Linked DNA regions of Xenopus tropicalis. Each later gene encodes a partner of the first gene's protein in a complex. Links are inferred from orthologs where the notes say so. Each region holds a gene or a part of one and is shown on either strand. Other genes may lie near its edges.

Region 1 (4,460 bases):
ATGTGTGAAAATAAGCAGCAACAAAAGCGAGTAAGGTGGTAGCACTTGATTAATCTGTACAGCCCTACCACTCCCCAAATCATTCACTCACTATTGCCTTTACTATCCTGTGGAATGTTTTAGATTACCTTTTGGCACATCATTATATGCGATAAGCGTATTTTACTGGGACTGAAAATTCATGTGTCAGCTATGTACTGTAATACAGGGCAGAGGCACCACTTGTATAAGGGAAACTGCTTAACATGGCCAATATAACTGTCTCCAGAAAGACAAGTTACAGTAAAAAAAAAATATAGTCACTTGGGTGCAAACATTTTTGTAATTTTATCCTATATATATTAAAGGATAAGGAAAGGCTAATAAAGAGTTAATCTCAAGCTGCAGGCATACCTTCAGTTCTCTCAATAGTGCCCTTAAGTCTCCCCATATTTCTCCCATAGCCTCATAGGAAAAAAAAATGCTGAGCTCTGTAAAAAAAAAGTTCCCATAATGCCTCGCTCCTGCACCAAGACCAAGACCGGTGTACATGCTCAGTTTGTAAGACTATGAGGAAGCTTCCTGCTGATTGGCTAAGATCACACATTCCTAAGGATGGGGGGGGGGGAGTTTTTAGCATTCTTGAGGGAGGGGGAGCAGGAGAGGGGAGAGGGCTGCGTGTCTCTGGCACAGGAAAACAAAAGAGAAAAGAAATCCTGTTTCTTTTGACAGATAAGATAACTTTCTGTGAGTGCTTATGGCTGTATTTACATAGACCTTTCTGATAAAGCTTACTTAGTTTTTACCTTTCCTTCTCCATTGATAATTCTAAATAGAAATATAAAATATGCAAAATAAAATCTTTAAAAAAAAAAAAAATATATATATATATATATATAAGAGCTTTCAATCTTAAAAGTATTATTCAAAGCACAGGACTGATCCGATTTTATATGCACACACTTATACATTCTATATAGTCACTGCAAAAAAAAACAAGAGAATAAAACACACCTGAACAAAAGAAACTTTAAAACTTTGCTGAACTGTTCCCAGAGTAGCGTTAATTACTCCCAATATGAGGAAAGCATTTACAGCTGTAATTGCTCCTTGTTCTGTGTATAGGATCTGGTAACTCCCCTGAAAGGCAAGCATTAGAATTCAGTTTTATTTGCTCTACTTTCATGTTTATAGTGTATAAAGAATCAGTGACGTCCTGATACACTGTCATAAACCGGAGTAACAAATGCTAAGTGAGCAGCCCCTCTTGTACTGGTTATAGGCTGTATTTTTTGCATGTAAATCTGTATGTTCAATGTATACACCCATTTATTATACAGTACTGCAGAAGGTGTTGGCTCTTTATAAATTTGTGTCAACAATAATCATATAAAGGCTTCTGTATCAGACGTGCTGTCATGAAAAATGCTAATACTTTTAAGGGAAATTATACCGACCAGGTATGAACTGTACAATAAAGATTGTGCTCATAGAGTAAAGAAAGCAGGCTTTTATGTCTTAAAGGAACAGTAACACCAAAAAATGAAAGAGCTTTAAAGTAATAAAAATATAATGCACTGTTGCCCTGCACTGGTAAAACTGGTGTGTTTGCTACAGTAACACTACTATAATTTATATAATAAGCTGCTGTGTAGCCCCGGGGGCAGCCATTCAAGCTGGAAAAAAGGAGAAAAGGCACAGGTTACATAGCAGATAACAGATAAGTTCTGTAGAATACAATAGTGTTTTATCTGCTATGTGCCTGTGCCTTTTATTCTTTGAATGGCTGCCTCCATGGCTACATAGCAGCTTATTTATATAAATTATAGTAGACTTTCTGAAGAAAACACACAACTTTTACCAGCGCAGGGCAGCAGCACGTTATATTTTAGTTACTTTTATACTCTTTCATTTTTTGGTGTTACTGTTTTTTACCTTTACCGTTACCTTTAAAGATTGGCGAATCTGTCCAAAACTTGGAAAAGATTAATGAAACGGCAAAAAATTTGCGAAACTCTGAAATGACGTGCAACAATTTTTTTTTTGACGCGTAGCATTTTCAGCCTTTTGCTAATTCTTCGCCGTTACACTAATCTTTTCCAAAAACAATTTTTCCACAACAATTGTTTGTTGAGCGCACCAAATTTTTTCTTGCCGCATTTTTTCACCCGTCTTGCAAAAAATGCGCCAATGGTGAAACACAGAAATTCACCACAAATCCATGCCTGCCAATTATGTCTACAAGTTAAAAATGTAAGTAACATTTTTTTTGTGACCACTAGAGACCATATAAATGTATGCATTGGGAGAAGGCGCAATATATAAGTTCCCACTCATATTAATAAGCATACATATGTAAAAACAACCAAGATTTTTATGTTTGACTTTCTGCAGATAAATAACTACCAACCTTACAGTTTATAAATACAGCTCCCAGAACAAATTCCAAAAATACATTTAAAAGGAGTCGGCAGTTTACAGCCTAATGCATATTTAGACATCCCAACAGAATGCCCAATGTCATATTATACTTAAATTAAGGTAAATCTGTCATAATTTCTAATTATCCTTTCTCCTTGTGGGAACTAGACTGAAAGCCATTTAGGGTGAGTTTTGGGGAGAAGGCCTCTTTGCTTTAGCAGATACTTCTGGAAGACCAGCTTCACAGTGACAGAGCAATATCTGCTGGGAAACATGTAGAATTCATCATTTTTTGCTCCGAATTGATTATCCAGCATAAAGTTCAGAGTGCAGACAGACCCGGGCAGAAGTGCTGTCTGCATGAGTAGTAAGGGTTGCACTCTTAGTGCTCTTGCACTTCTGCCCGGAACCTTAGTAAATTACCCCCTCTGTCATTTACTGATACTGTGGTATATGACATATCCTGTAAGTAAGTAGGGCTATGCTGGAGATAAAGAATTAAAACTACTTTGTAATAAAAATATTTACTTACCCCCAAAACCACATCTTTACAAAGCTCTGTTGTATTGTCCAAAACAGGAACATAATGATCTATGACACTTGGGATAAAGATCCCATCGAGAGACTTCTTCATTATAGACTGTACTGTTATATTAATCTGCAAATGGTAATTGTGTAAATGTTATATTCTCTCCAAGAAGCAAGCATCATTAAAGGAAAAGTAAAGGTACTAATCACTGGGGGGTGCCATATGTCCCAGTGATTGTAATCTCGTACCTTATACCCCAGACTGGTGCTCCTGTTAGGAGAAAACTGTTTTGTCGATCCTTTTCCTTCTTTATTCTCTCTTTGGAATCCCAGGGCCAGCGCATGTGAAGTAGAGTGAAAAGGCCGGCTTTTTTGTTAAAGTTTATCTTTTCACTCTACTGCACATGCACAAGTAGTGTGAAGAAGGAAGAAGAAGGTATACTCTGGCTGCAATATTGAAGTTTTCTCCCTCTCCAGTTCCAAAAACATGCTTATTCACTGATAAAACAGAATGTTGTGTGTGTGTGACTGTGATAGGGACCTTAGACTGTAAGCTTTAATGGCGCAGTGACTGATGTATGCCTGATGTAAAGTGTTGCAGAAAATATCAGCACTACATAAATCAAGCACAGCAATCACTGCTTCATTAAGGATCAAAGGCTAGCTCATATGCTACAGAAGCACACAGCACCAAAAAGATCTGCACTTATACTGCACAGGAACATAATCAAATCTTTTGTACACAGCAGGATTAGCTGGCTGTTGAGAAATGAAGCCACCTGTGTGACCCAAAAAACCCAGCTTATTGTTGTTATTCTGCTGTCTCCCCCATTCTAGTGTGAACAAACATAAAAACAATGTTTTTTTTGGATTTGTCAGTAGTTGCCATATTGTGGAGATAGCACCTCTAGGCAACCTAGAGCAGTGGCTGGGCGCCCAGCTTGAAGGCCAGTTAGGGTGAGCAGCGCTGTTTAGCAATCAGGCAAGGTGAGAAATGGCACCCCTGTTATGAGAATGAACTTCCATTTTTTAGAAATTCAACTCCTTTAGTTCATCTTTATAAAGAGAATGCAACTGCACTCTGTACTAACAATGCAGCTCCCCCTCAACCCACTAAAGGTGGGTTTAAATCATGAGGGCGCGATTGGTCTGCTCCTGTGGAGTGCCTATTTGCTCTTCTCTCTGCTCTAAGGTATGGCATGTCTGATATCCAAGATCAATGTATTAAACAACTAATGTGAGAGCAAAGCATGCAGACTAGACTCAATTCAGCATATTATGTCAAAAAAATATGCACTCTGCTATATGTATCCCTTGATTCCAAACAACACAGCAGCAGTAGAAATCACCAGTTAGTGTACAATACCGCATTATGTATATGCAAGGTACGGCATGAAAGGTAAAAACATCCAGGAAAGAAATTTATGTAAATTAAAATGATGTATTTTAGGATCTGGGTGAACCACGCTGTTCCCAGGATCTGAAAACCGCACACTTCACTCATGGTGAAAAATGTTCAACTTCTGTGTTTA
Region 2 (4,998 bases), on another chromosome or scaffold:
TCAGAGTGGGGATCAGGGTGGGATCAGGGTGGGGATCAGGGTGGGGATCAGGGTGGGGATCAAGGTGGGAAAAGGGTGGGATCAGGGTGGGGATCAGGGTGGGATCAGGGTGGGAAAAGGGTGGGGATCAGGGTGGGGATCAGGGTGGGGATCAGGGTGGGATCAGGGTGGGGATCAAGGTGGGAAAAGGGTGGGATCAGGGTGGGGATCAGGGTGGGGATCAGGGTGGGGATCAAGGTGGGATCAGGGTGGGGATCAGGGTGGGGATCAGGGTGGGATCAGGGTGGGGATCAGGGTGGGATCAGGGTGGGGATCAGGGTGGGGATCAGGGTGGGGATCAGGGTGGGATCAGGGTGGGGATCAAGGTGGGGATCAAGGTGGGAAAAGGGTGGGATCAAGGTGGGGATCAGGGTGGGGATTAAGAAGGAAACAGGGTGGGAAAAGGGTGGGGATCAGGGTGGGAAAAGGGTGGGATCAGGGTGGGGATCAAGGTGGGGATCAAGAAGGAAACAGGGTGGGAAAAGGGTGGGGATCAGGGTGGGGATCAGGGTGGGGATCAAGAAGGAAACAGGGTGGGAAAAGGGTGGGGATCAGGGTGGGAAAAGGGTGGGATCAGGGTGGGGATCAAGGTGGGGATCAAGAAGGAAACAGGGTGGGAAAAGGGTGGGGATCAGGGTGGGAAAAGGGTGGGGATCAGGGTGGGAAAAGGGTGGGGATCAGGGTGGAAAAAGGGTGGGATCAGGGTGGGATCAAGGTGGGGATCAAGGTGGGGATCAAGAAGGAAACAGGGTGGGAAAAGGGTGGGGATCAGGGTGGGAAAATGGTGGGATCAGGGTGGAAAAAGGGTGGGATCAGGGTGGGATCAAGGTGGGGATCAGGGTGGGAAAAGGGTGGGATCAGGGTGAGGATCAAGGTGGGGATCAAGAAGGAAACAGGGTGGGAAAAGGGTGGGGATCAGGGTGGGAAAATGGTGGGATCAGGGTGGGAAAAGGGTGGGGATCAGGGTGGGGATCAAGGTGGGGATCAAGAAGGAAACAGGGTGGGAAAAGGGTGGGGATCACGGTGGGGATCAGTGACCTGTAACTCCGCCCATGTGTTACTAAAAGTAAATATAAAGGGGAAGTTGACCCTTTATTGGGCTATGGGTTCTATAATGAAGTAACTGTGAGTAACATAATTAGGTGAGTAGCAGTGAGACGAGGAAACCGTGGGTGGGAACATCCGGCTCTTGAAGCGAGGGTCTCGCATCTCAGCCCCAATTAATAACGACTGCGCATCACTACTGAGAGACAGCAGCATCGGCCCCCAACTCTCCCACCCTCGCTCCTCTACTGCCCCCCGTGCAGTCATTAGTGCTCATACTGCCTCTTGTGTTTGGAATAACCTCTTCAGTGTTATAAAGGGTTGTCTCCATCTTGCCCTACTGTCTCCATCTTGCCCTACTGTCTCCATCTTGCCCTACTGTCTCCATCTTGCCCTACTGTCCCCATCTTGCCCTACTGTCTCCATCTTGCCCTACTGTCCCCATCTTGCCCTACTGTCCCCATCTTGCCCTACTGTCCCCATCTTGCCCTACTGTCTCCATCTTGCCCTACTGTCCCCATCTTGCCCTACTGTCCCCATCTTGCCCTACTGTCCCCATCTTGCCCTACTGTCTCCATCTTGCCCTACTGTCTCCCTGGGCAGAGGAGCTAGCAATCTAATTTGGCTGCAGGTACACTCTCCATTGAACAGTTCCCAGAAGCCCAGCCAGTCCCAGTTATTTAGTGGCCCTGAATGTTAGGGGGGAAGGCGCTAGGACCCCGCGGCGCACAGGCGGCTCAGGGGGTCACGTGTTGCGGAGGTTTCCAGGGAGTGACGTCACAGGCGTCCTTAGAGCAGCAAGATGGCGCCCAAAGGTAAGCGGGAGGCGAAGCAGCGGATGGAAGAGCGGCCCCCCTGCTCCCTGTAATGGCGCCTGTAAGCGTGGGGCTACTGTGTCCCCTATGCAAGAGGTGCAGCTGATCAGCGGGACTACAACTCCCAGCATCCCCTGCACCCGATGCCGCTACGCTGTCCCCTTACCTGCTGCATAGGGACCCGCACCGCTAGTGTGCAACTACAACTGGGGGGGGGGGGGGGGGGCTGTTAGACCACAATTCCCGGCATCCCCAGAGAAGCAGCGACTTCTCCCTGTTACCCACAATAGCGCACATTCCCCGGGCAGGTGGGTATATTATGGGCAGGTGGGTATATTATGGGCAGGTAAGTGGGTATATTATGGGCAGGTGGGTATATTATGGGCAGGTGGGTATATTACGGGCAGGCGGGTGGGTATATTACGGGCAGGTATGTGGGTATATTACGGGCAGGCGGGTGGGTATATTACGGGCAGGCGGGTGGGTATATTACGGGCAGGCGGGTGGGAATATTACGGGCAGGCGGGTGGGTATATTACGGGCAGGTATGTGGGTATATTACGGCAGGCGGGTGGGTATATTACGGGCAGGCGGGTGGGTATATTACGGGCAGGCGGGTTGGTATATTACGGGCAGGTATGTGGGTATATTACGGGCAGGCGGGTGGGTATATTACGGGCAGGCGGGTGGGTATATTACGGGCAGGTATGTGGGTATATTACGGGCAGGCAGGTGGGTATATTACGGGCAGGCGGGTGGGTATATTACGGGCAGGCGGGTGGGTATATTACGGGCAGGTATGTGGGTATATTACGGGCAGGCGGGTTGGGGTATATTACGGGCAGGCGGGTGGGTATATTACGGGCAGGCGGGTGGGTAATATTACGGGCAGGGGGTGGGAATATTACGGGCAGCGGTGGGTATATTACGGGCAGGCGGGTGGGTATATTGAGGGCAGGCGGGTGGGTATATTACGGGCAGGCGGGTGGGTATATTACGGGCAGGCGGGTGGGTATATTACGGGCAGGTATGTGGGTATATTATGGGCAGGCGGGTGGGTATATTACGGGCAGGCGGGTGGGAATATTACGGGCAGGCGGGTGGGTATATTATGGGCAGGCGGGTGGGTATATTACGGGCAGGCGGGTGGGAATATTACGGGCAGGCGGGTGGGTATATTATGGGCAGGCAGGTGGGTATATTACGGGCAGGTGGGTATATTACGGGCAGGCAGGTGGGTATATTACGGGCAGGCGGGTGGGAATATTACGGGCAGGCGGGTGGGTATATTACGGGCAGGCGGGTGGATATATTACGGGCAGGCGGGTGGGTATATTACGGGCAGGTATGTGGGTATATTATGGGCACCTACAGGGGGAGACCAAACATGGCTGCTCTGAGTGCTGGGAGGGGCCCCCGGCCCCCACTGGGTCTTCTGCTTGGTATCATGTGACTTGTGCTGCCCCCTAACTGTGCGTTTGCTTCCCAGGGAGAAGGCGCGGAGTTGTATCCTTGGCACTTACATAGGTGAGACGGTACCAAGTCACCTGTACAGGTATAGCCTGGCCCCGCCCACTGCTTCTTATATTCCTTTAACAATTCATGGGGGTACATTACCCCTTATAATACATGAGTGATACTCAGAGTTCCCTGTATAACTCAGCCTGCAGCCTTGTGCCTTTATATGGGGGGCACAGAACCCCTCAGTGACTGCTAATATCCTTATCATTTACAGTAGGGGGTACATTATCCCTTATAATACATGAGTGATACTCAGAGTTCCCTGTATAACTCAGCCTGCAGCCTTGTGCCTTTATATGGGGGGCACAGAACCCCTCAGTGACTGCTAATATCCTTATCATTTACAGTAGGGGGTACATTATCCCTTATAATACATGAGTGATACTCAGAGTTCCCTGTATAACTCAGCCTGCAGCCTTGTGCCTTTATATGGGCACAGAACCCCTCAGTGACTGCTAATATCCTTATCATTTACAGTAGGGGGTACATTATCCCTTATAATACATGAGTGATACTCAGAGTTCCCTGTATAACTCAGCCTGCAGCCTTGTGCCTTTATATGGGGGGCACAGAACCCCTCAGTGACTGCTAATATCCTTATCATTTACAGTAGGGGGTACATTATCCCTTATAATACATGAGTGATACTCAGAGTTCCCTGTATAACTCAGCCTGCAGCCTTGTGCCTTTATATGGGGGGCACAGAACCCCTCAGTGACTGCTAATATCCTTATCATTTACAGTAGGGGGTACATTATCCCTTATAATACATGAGTGATACTCAGAGTTCCCTGTATAACTCAGCCTGCAGCCTTGTGCCTTTATATGGGGGGCACAGAACCCCTCAGTGACTGCTAATATCCTTATCATTTACAGTAGGGGGTACAGTATCCCTATAATACATGAGTGATACTCAGAGTTCCCTGTATAACTCAGCCTGCAGCCTTGTGCCTTTATATGGGGGGCACAGAACCCCTCAGTGACTGCTAATATCCTTATCATTTACAGTAGGGGGTACAGTATCCCTTATAATACATGAGTGATACTCAGAGTTCCCTGTATAACTCAGCCTGCAGCCTTGTGCCTTTATATGGGGGGCACAGAACCCCTCAGTGACTGCTAATATCCTTATCATTTACAGTAGGGGGTACAGTATCCCTATAATACATGAGTGATACTCAGAGTGGGATTACATTACTCGGTACATTGTAGCATGAGTCGCATTATACAGTTTTTCCTGAACACAAGCAGCTCTCTTCCACGCCGCTGGAGGTTCTCTTCTTCCTCAATGGCTGGTACTGTGCTTCCTACTTCATCATCGAGACTCTCATTTTTATCTATAAAGGTGAGTTCCTATTGGCTGTGCATGTACCCCAGGGAGGCAGGAACCGCGGGGGGCAACATTGGGGGGACCAAGCTCAGTGTTATTGGCACAAATGGTCCTGCCCAGGGGTGTATGGCTTCTGTCGCACTGAGGGGAGGGGCAGGGAGTCTGTGACTCAAGTAGTGGGTGGGGCTAGAAGGGATTAGCGCAGGGAATGATGGGAGACTTTTGCATTCCCACAGGGCTGATCCTGCC
Region 3 (5,024 bases), on another chromosome or scaffold:
ACTGTATATACAGGCCAGGGACCCTCTCATATAATATATACAGGCTTCCCTGACTCCTATTACTGTATATACAGGCCAGGGACCCTCTCATATAATATATACAGGCTTCCCTGACTCCTATTACTGTATATACAGGCCAGGGACCCTCTCATATAATATATCCAGGCTTCCCTGACTCCTATTACTGTATATACAGGCCGGTAACCCTCTCATATAATATATCCAGGCTTCCCTGACTCCTATTACTGTATATACAGGCCAGGGACCCTCTCATATAATATATACAGGCTTCCCTGACTCCTATTACTGTATATACAGGCCAGGGACCCTCTCATATAATATATACAGGCTTCCCTGACTCCTATTACTGTATATACAGGCCGGTAACCCTCTCATATAATATATACAGGCTTCCCTGACTCCTATTACTGTATATACAGGCCAGGGACCCTCTCATATAATATATCCAGGCTTCCCTGACTCCTATTACTGTATATACAGGCCGGTAACCCTCTCATATAATATATACAGGCTTCCCTGACTCCTATTACTGTAAATACAGGCCAGGGACCCTCTCATATAATATATACAGGCTTCCCTGACCCCTATTACTGTATATACAGGCCGGCAACCCTCTCATATAATATATACAGGCTTCCCTGACTCCTATTACTGTATATACAGGCCAGGGACCCTCTCATATAATATATACAGGCTTCCCTGACTCCTATTACTGTATATACAGGCCGGTAACCCTCTCATATAATATATCCAGGCTTCCCTGACTCCTATTACTGTATATACAGGCCGGCAACCCTCTCTTATAATATATACAGGCTTCCCTGACTCCTATTACTGTATATACAGGCCGGTAACCCTCTCATATAATATATACAGGCTTCCCTGACTCCTATTACTGTATATACAGGCCGGCAACCTTCTCATATAATATATACAGGCTTCCCTGACTCCTATTACTGTATATACAGGCCGGTAACCCTCTCATATAATATATACAGGCTTCCCTGACTCCTATTACTGTATATACAGGCCGGTAACCCTCTCATATAATATATCCAGGCTTCCCTGACTCCTATTACTGTATATACAGGCCGGCAACCCTCTCATATAATATATCCAGGCTTCCCTGACTCCTATTACAGTATATACAGGCCGGCAACCCTCTCATATAATATATACAGGCTTCCCTGACTCCTATTACTGTATATACAGGCGGGTAACCCTCTCATATAATATATACAGGCTTCCCTGACTCCTATTACTGTATATACAGGCCGGCAACCCTCTCATATAATATATCCAGGCTTCCCTGACTCCTATTACTGTATATACAGGCCGGTAACCCTCTCATATAATATATACAGGCTTCCCTGACTCCTATTACTGTATATACATGCCGGCAACCCTCTCATATAATATATACAGGCTTCCCTGACCCCTATTACTGTATATACAGGCCGGCAACCCTCTCATATAATATATACAGGCTTCCCTGACTCCTATTACTGTATATACAGGCCAGGGACCCTCTCATATAATATATACAGGCTTCCCTGACTCCTATTACTGTATATACAGGCCGGTAACCCTCTCATATAATATATACAGGCTTCCCTGACTCCTATTACTGTATATACATGCCGGCAACCCTCTCATATAATATATACAGGCTTCCCTGACCCCTATTACTGTATATACAGGCCGGCAACCCTCTCATATAATATATACAGGCTTCCCTGACTCCTATTACTGTATATACAGGCCAGGGACCCTCTCATATAATATATACAGGCTTCCCTGACTCCTATTACTGTATATACAGGCCGGTAACCCTCTCATATAATATATCCAGGCTTCCCTGACTCCTATTACTGTATATACAGGCCGGCAACCCTCTCATATAATATATACAGGCTTCCCTGACTCCTATTACTGTATATACAGGCCGGTAACCCTCTCATATAATATATACAGGCTTCCCTGACTCCTATTACTGTATATACAGGCCGGCAACCCTCTCATATAATATATACAGGCTTCCCTGACTCCTATTACTGTATATACAGGCCGGTAACCCTCTCATATAATATATACAGGCTTCCCTGACTCCTATTACTGTATATACAGGCCGGTAACCCTCTCATATAATATATACAGGCTTCCCTGACTCCTATTACTGTATATACAGGCCGGTAACCCTCTCATATAATATATCCAGGCTTCCCTGACTCCTATTACTGTATATACAGGCCGGTAACCCTCTCATATAATATATCCAGGCTTCCCTGACTCCTATTACTGTATATACAGGCCGGCAACCCTCTCATATAATATATCCAGGCTTCCCTGACTCCTATTACAGTATATACAGGCCGGCAACCCTCTCATATAATATATACAGGCTTCCCTGACTCCTATTACTGTATATACAGGCGGGTAACCCTCTCATATAATATATACAGGCTTCCCTGACTCCTATTACTGTATATACAGGCCGGCAACCCTCTCATATAATATATACAGGCTTCCCTGACTCCTATTACTGTATATACAGGCCGGTAACCCTCTCATATAATATATACAGGCTTCCCTGACTCCTATTACTGTATATACATGCCGGCAACCCTCTCATATAATATATACAGGCTTCCCTGACCCCTATTACTGTATATACAGGCCGGCAACCCTCTCATATAATATATACAGGCTTCCCTGACTCCTATTACTGTATATACATGCCGGCAACCCTCTCATATAATATATACAGGCTTCCCTGACTCCTATTACTGTATATACATGCCGGCAACCCTCTCATATAATATATACAGGCTTCCCTGACTCCTATTACTGTATATACAGGCCGGCAACCCTCTCATATAATATATACAGGCTTCCCTGACTCCTATTACTGTATATACAGGCCGGCAACCCTCTCATATAATATATACAGACTTTTATAGCTACTTATACTGTATAAATTAACCATTAAATATCTCACATACAAAGTATTCCCCGGGCAGAGACCAGTTAAACCAGTAACTTACTGGAACAAAACCCTTACCCGTTCCAATCTCCGAGCCGAAAACCCGCCGCTTACCGTTGCCTAGCAACCCCTCAGCGTCCTAACCAAAACGCGCAGGATTCAGGAGATTCTGACCATTCACCTACTGAGCCCCGGTCACATGGGGCAGAAGGCAAGTCCGCCATTATTGTAGCTGGAAGTTTTAGCGCTTTGTCGTAAAAGCGACGACACATCCCTGATTATGAAACCTGTCCCAAACTAACATATATATAGATGCAAAGCCTCCACAATGGCGGCTAATCGAAAAGAAGTTACAGTTCGAGCGAAAATATATCAAGCCATAGATGCAGGGGGGAAAATAAAAAGCTGAGTTGGCAGCGGTGGGATTCGAACCCACGCCTCCAGAGAGACTGGAGCCTAAATCCAGCGCCTTAGACCGCTCGGCCACGCTACCTTCTTACTACAGGCCTGATGCACCCTGGGAATATTACTGGGTATAATGACGTCATTATGACTTTACTTCCCACAGTGAGGGAATTAACTGCATGGGAAGTTACACAAGGGATTTATATATCCTCTATACAGGTGGTTTAGGCTCCTGAAACATTGTTTCTTTCCCACCCTCCAGGGGGCGGGGGAAGCAGCACCTCCCTGTGCATACCCCTTGACTATCTGGGCCCACCAGGGTCGGACTGGGCCGCTGGGACACCGGGACAAATCCCGGCGCTCCCCCTGCCCGACCGTTCCTCCCCTGAGGCGTTAAATTTACGGGAGCTCAGGGGAGGACGTCGGGTGGGGGACCCTGTGGGGGGTTGGGGGGGTTAGGGCGGGAGCCCTGGTGTGCCCTGCACCCCCCCCAGTCCGACCCTGGGGCCCACAGATATAGCTATCTTTCACTCCCCAAAATGTGTAGGGCTGTATAACAAACTGCCTAGATCTTCTAATCAGGCATTGGCCCATCTGGAACGCTCTCCAAAGAGTGGCCCCTAAGCCAAATGGATGGAGAGCATACAAGTAAAGGTGGCCATACACGTAGCTGAAGTTCAGGGCTGAATCATCAGATAAGGAGGTAGAAACAATAGAAATTCTACCTCCTTCAGCCCTGAACGTAGATTTTGCTCGGGCGCCTTCAATGGCGCCTTCAACCGATATCCACAGCCTCTGGGATATTGGTCGCCTCTACAAGTCACCATACACGCACCGAATATTGTACGAGATGATAACATCTGTGCGTGTATGGCTGGCTTACGAATGCCTTTCTATTGTTCCGATTACTGATTGATCAGAACAGCAGGAGGGAGAGAGAAGGTGTAGTAAGGTAAACTGATAGATCGATAGAAAGAGATACTGGGGAGAAGCAGATGAAGGTCTCTCAGGGAAGAAGCGTTGGATCAAGGAGATCGTGGGAGAAGCAGATGAAGGTCTCTCTGGGAAGAAGCAGTTGGATCAAGGAGATGGTGGGAAGAAGCAGATGAAGGTCTCTCAGGGAAGAAGCAGTTGGATCAAGGAGATGGTGGGGAGAAGCAGATGAAGGTCTCTCAGGGAAGAAGCAGTTGGATCAAGGAGATGGTAGGAAGAAGGAGATGAAGGTCTCTCAGGGAAGAAGCAGTTGGATCAAGGAGATGGTGGGAAGAAGGAGATCAAGGTCTCTCGGGGAAGAAGCAGTTGGATCAAGGAGATGGTGGGAAGAAGGAGATGAAGGTCTCTCAGGGAAGAAGCAGTTGGATCAAGGAGATGGTGGGAAGAAGGAGATGAAGGTCTCTCAGGGAAGAAGCAGTTGGATCAAGGAGATGGTGGGAAGAAGGAGATGAAGGTCTCTCAGGGAAGAAGCAGTTGGATCAAGGAGATGGTGGGAAGAAGGAGATGAAGGTCTCTCAGGGAAGAAGCAGTTGGATCAAGGAGATGGTGGGGAGAAGCAGATGGAGATCAGATGGCAGATGAAGATCTTCTTCTTGAGGAGGTTTTGATGGAAGAAGATTCT

Evidence for each region.
Region 2: tctn1 (region 1) and tmem216 share a complex: the UniProt entries of both Homo sapiens proteins name them as parts of the tectonic-like complex. The link is inferred for Xenopus tropicalis from reciprocal best matches to the Homo sapiens genes TCTN1 and TMEM216.
Region 3: tctn1 (region 1) and tmem107 share a complex: the UniProt entries of both Homo sapiens proteins name them as parts of the tectonic-like complex. The link is inferred for Xenopus tropicalis from reciprocal best matches to the Homo sapiens genes TCTN1 and TMEM107.

The regions. Positions count from the first base shown.
Region 1 is NC_030677.2:162,898,420-162,902,879, reverse strand, and holds part of tctn1 (tectonic-1 precursor), read right to left. Parts: intron 3,059-4,460; coding exon 2,933-3,058; intron 1,120-2,932; coding exon 994-1,119; intron 1-993. UniProt on the Homo sapiens protein: Component of the tectonic-like complex, a complex localized at the transition zone of primary cilia and acting as a barrier that prevents diffusion of transmembrane proteins between the cilia and plasma membranes.
Region 2 is NC_030678.2:178,905,405-178,910,402, forward strand, and holds the start of tmem216 (transmembrane protein 216), read left to right. Parts: upstream 1-1,809; 5' UTR 1,810-1,885; coding exon 1,886-1,898; intron 1,899-3,387; coding exon 3,388-3,404; intron 3,405-4,670; coding exon 4,671-4,764; intron 4,765-4,985; coding exon 4,986-4,998. UniProt on the Homo sapiens protein: Part of the tectonic-like complex which is required for tissue-specific ciliogenesis and may regulate ciliary membrane composition.
Region 3 is NC_030679.2:144,535,513-144,540,536, forward strand, and holds the start of tmem107 (transmembrane protein 107), read right to left. Parts: upstream 3,190-5,024; 5' UTR 3,083-3,189; exon of another isoform or gene 3,066-3,082; intron 1-3,065. UniProt on the Homo sapiens protein: Plays a role in cilia formation and embryonic patterning. Requires for normal Sonic hedgehog (Shh) signaling in the neural tube and acts in combination with GLI2 and GLI3 to pattern ventral and intermediate neuronal cell types.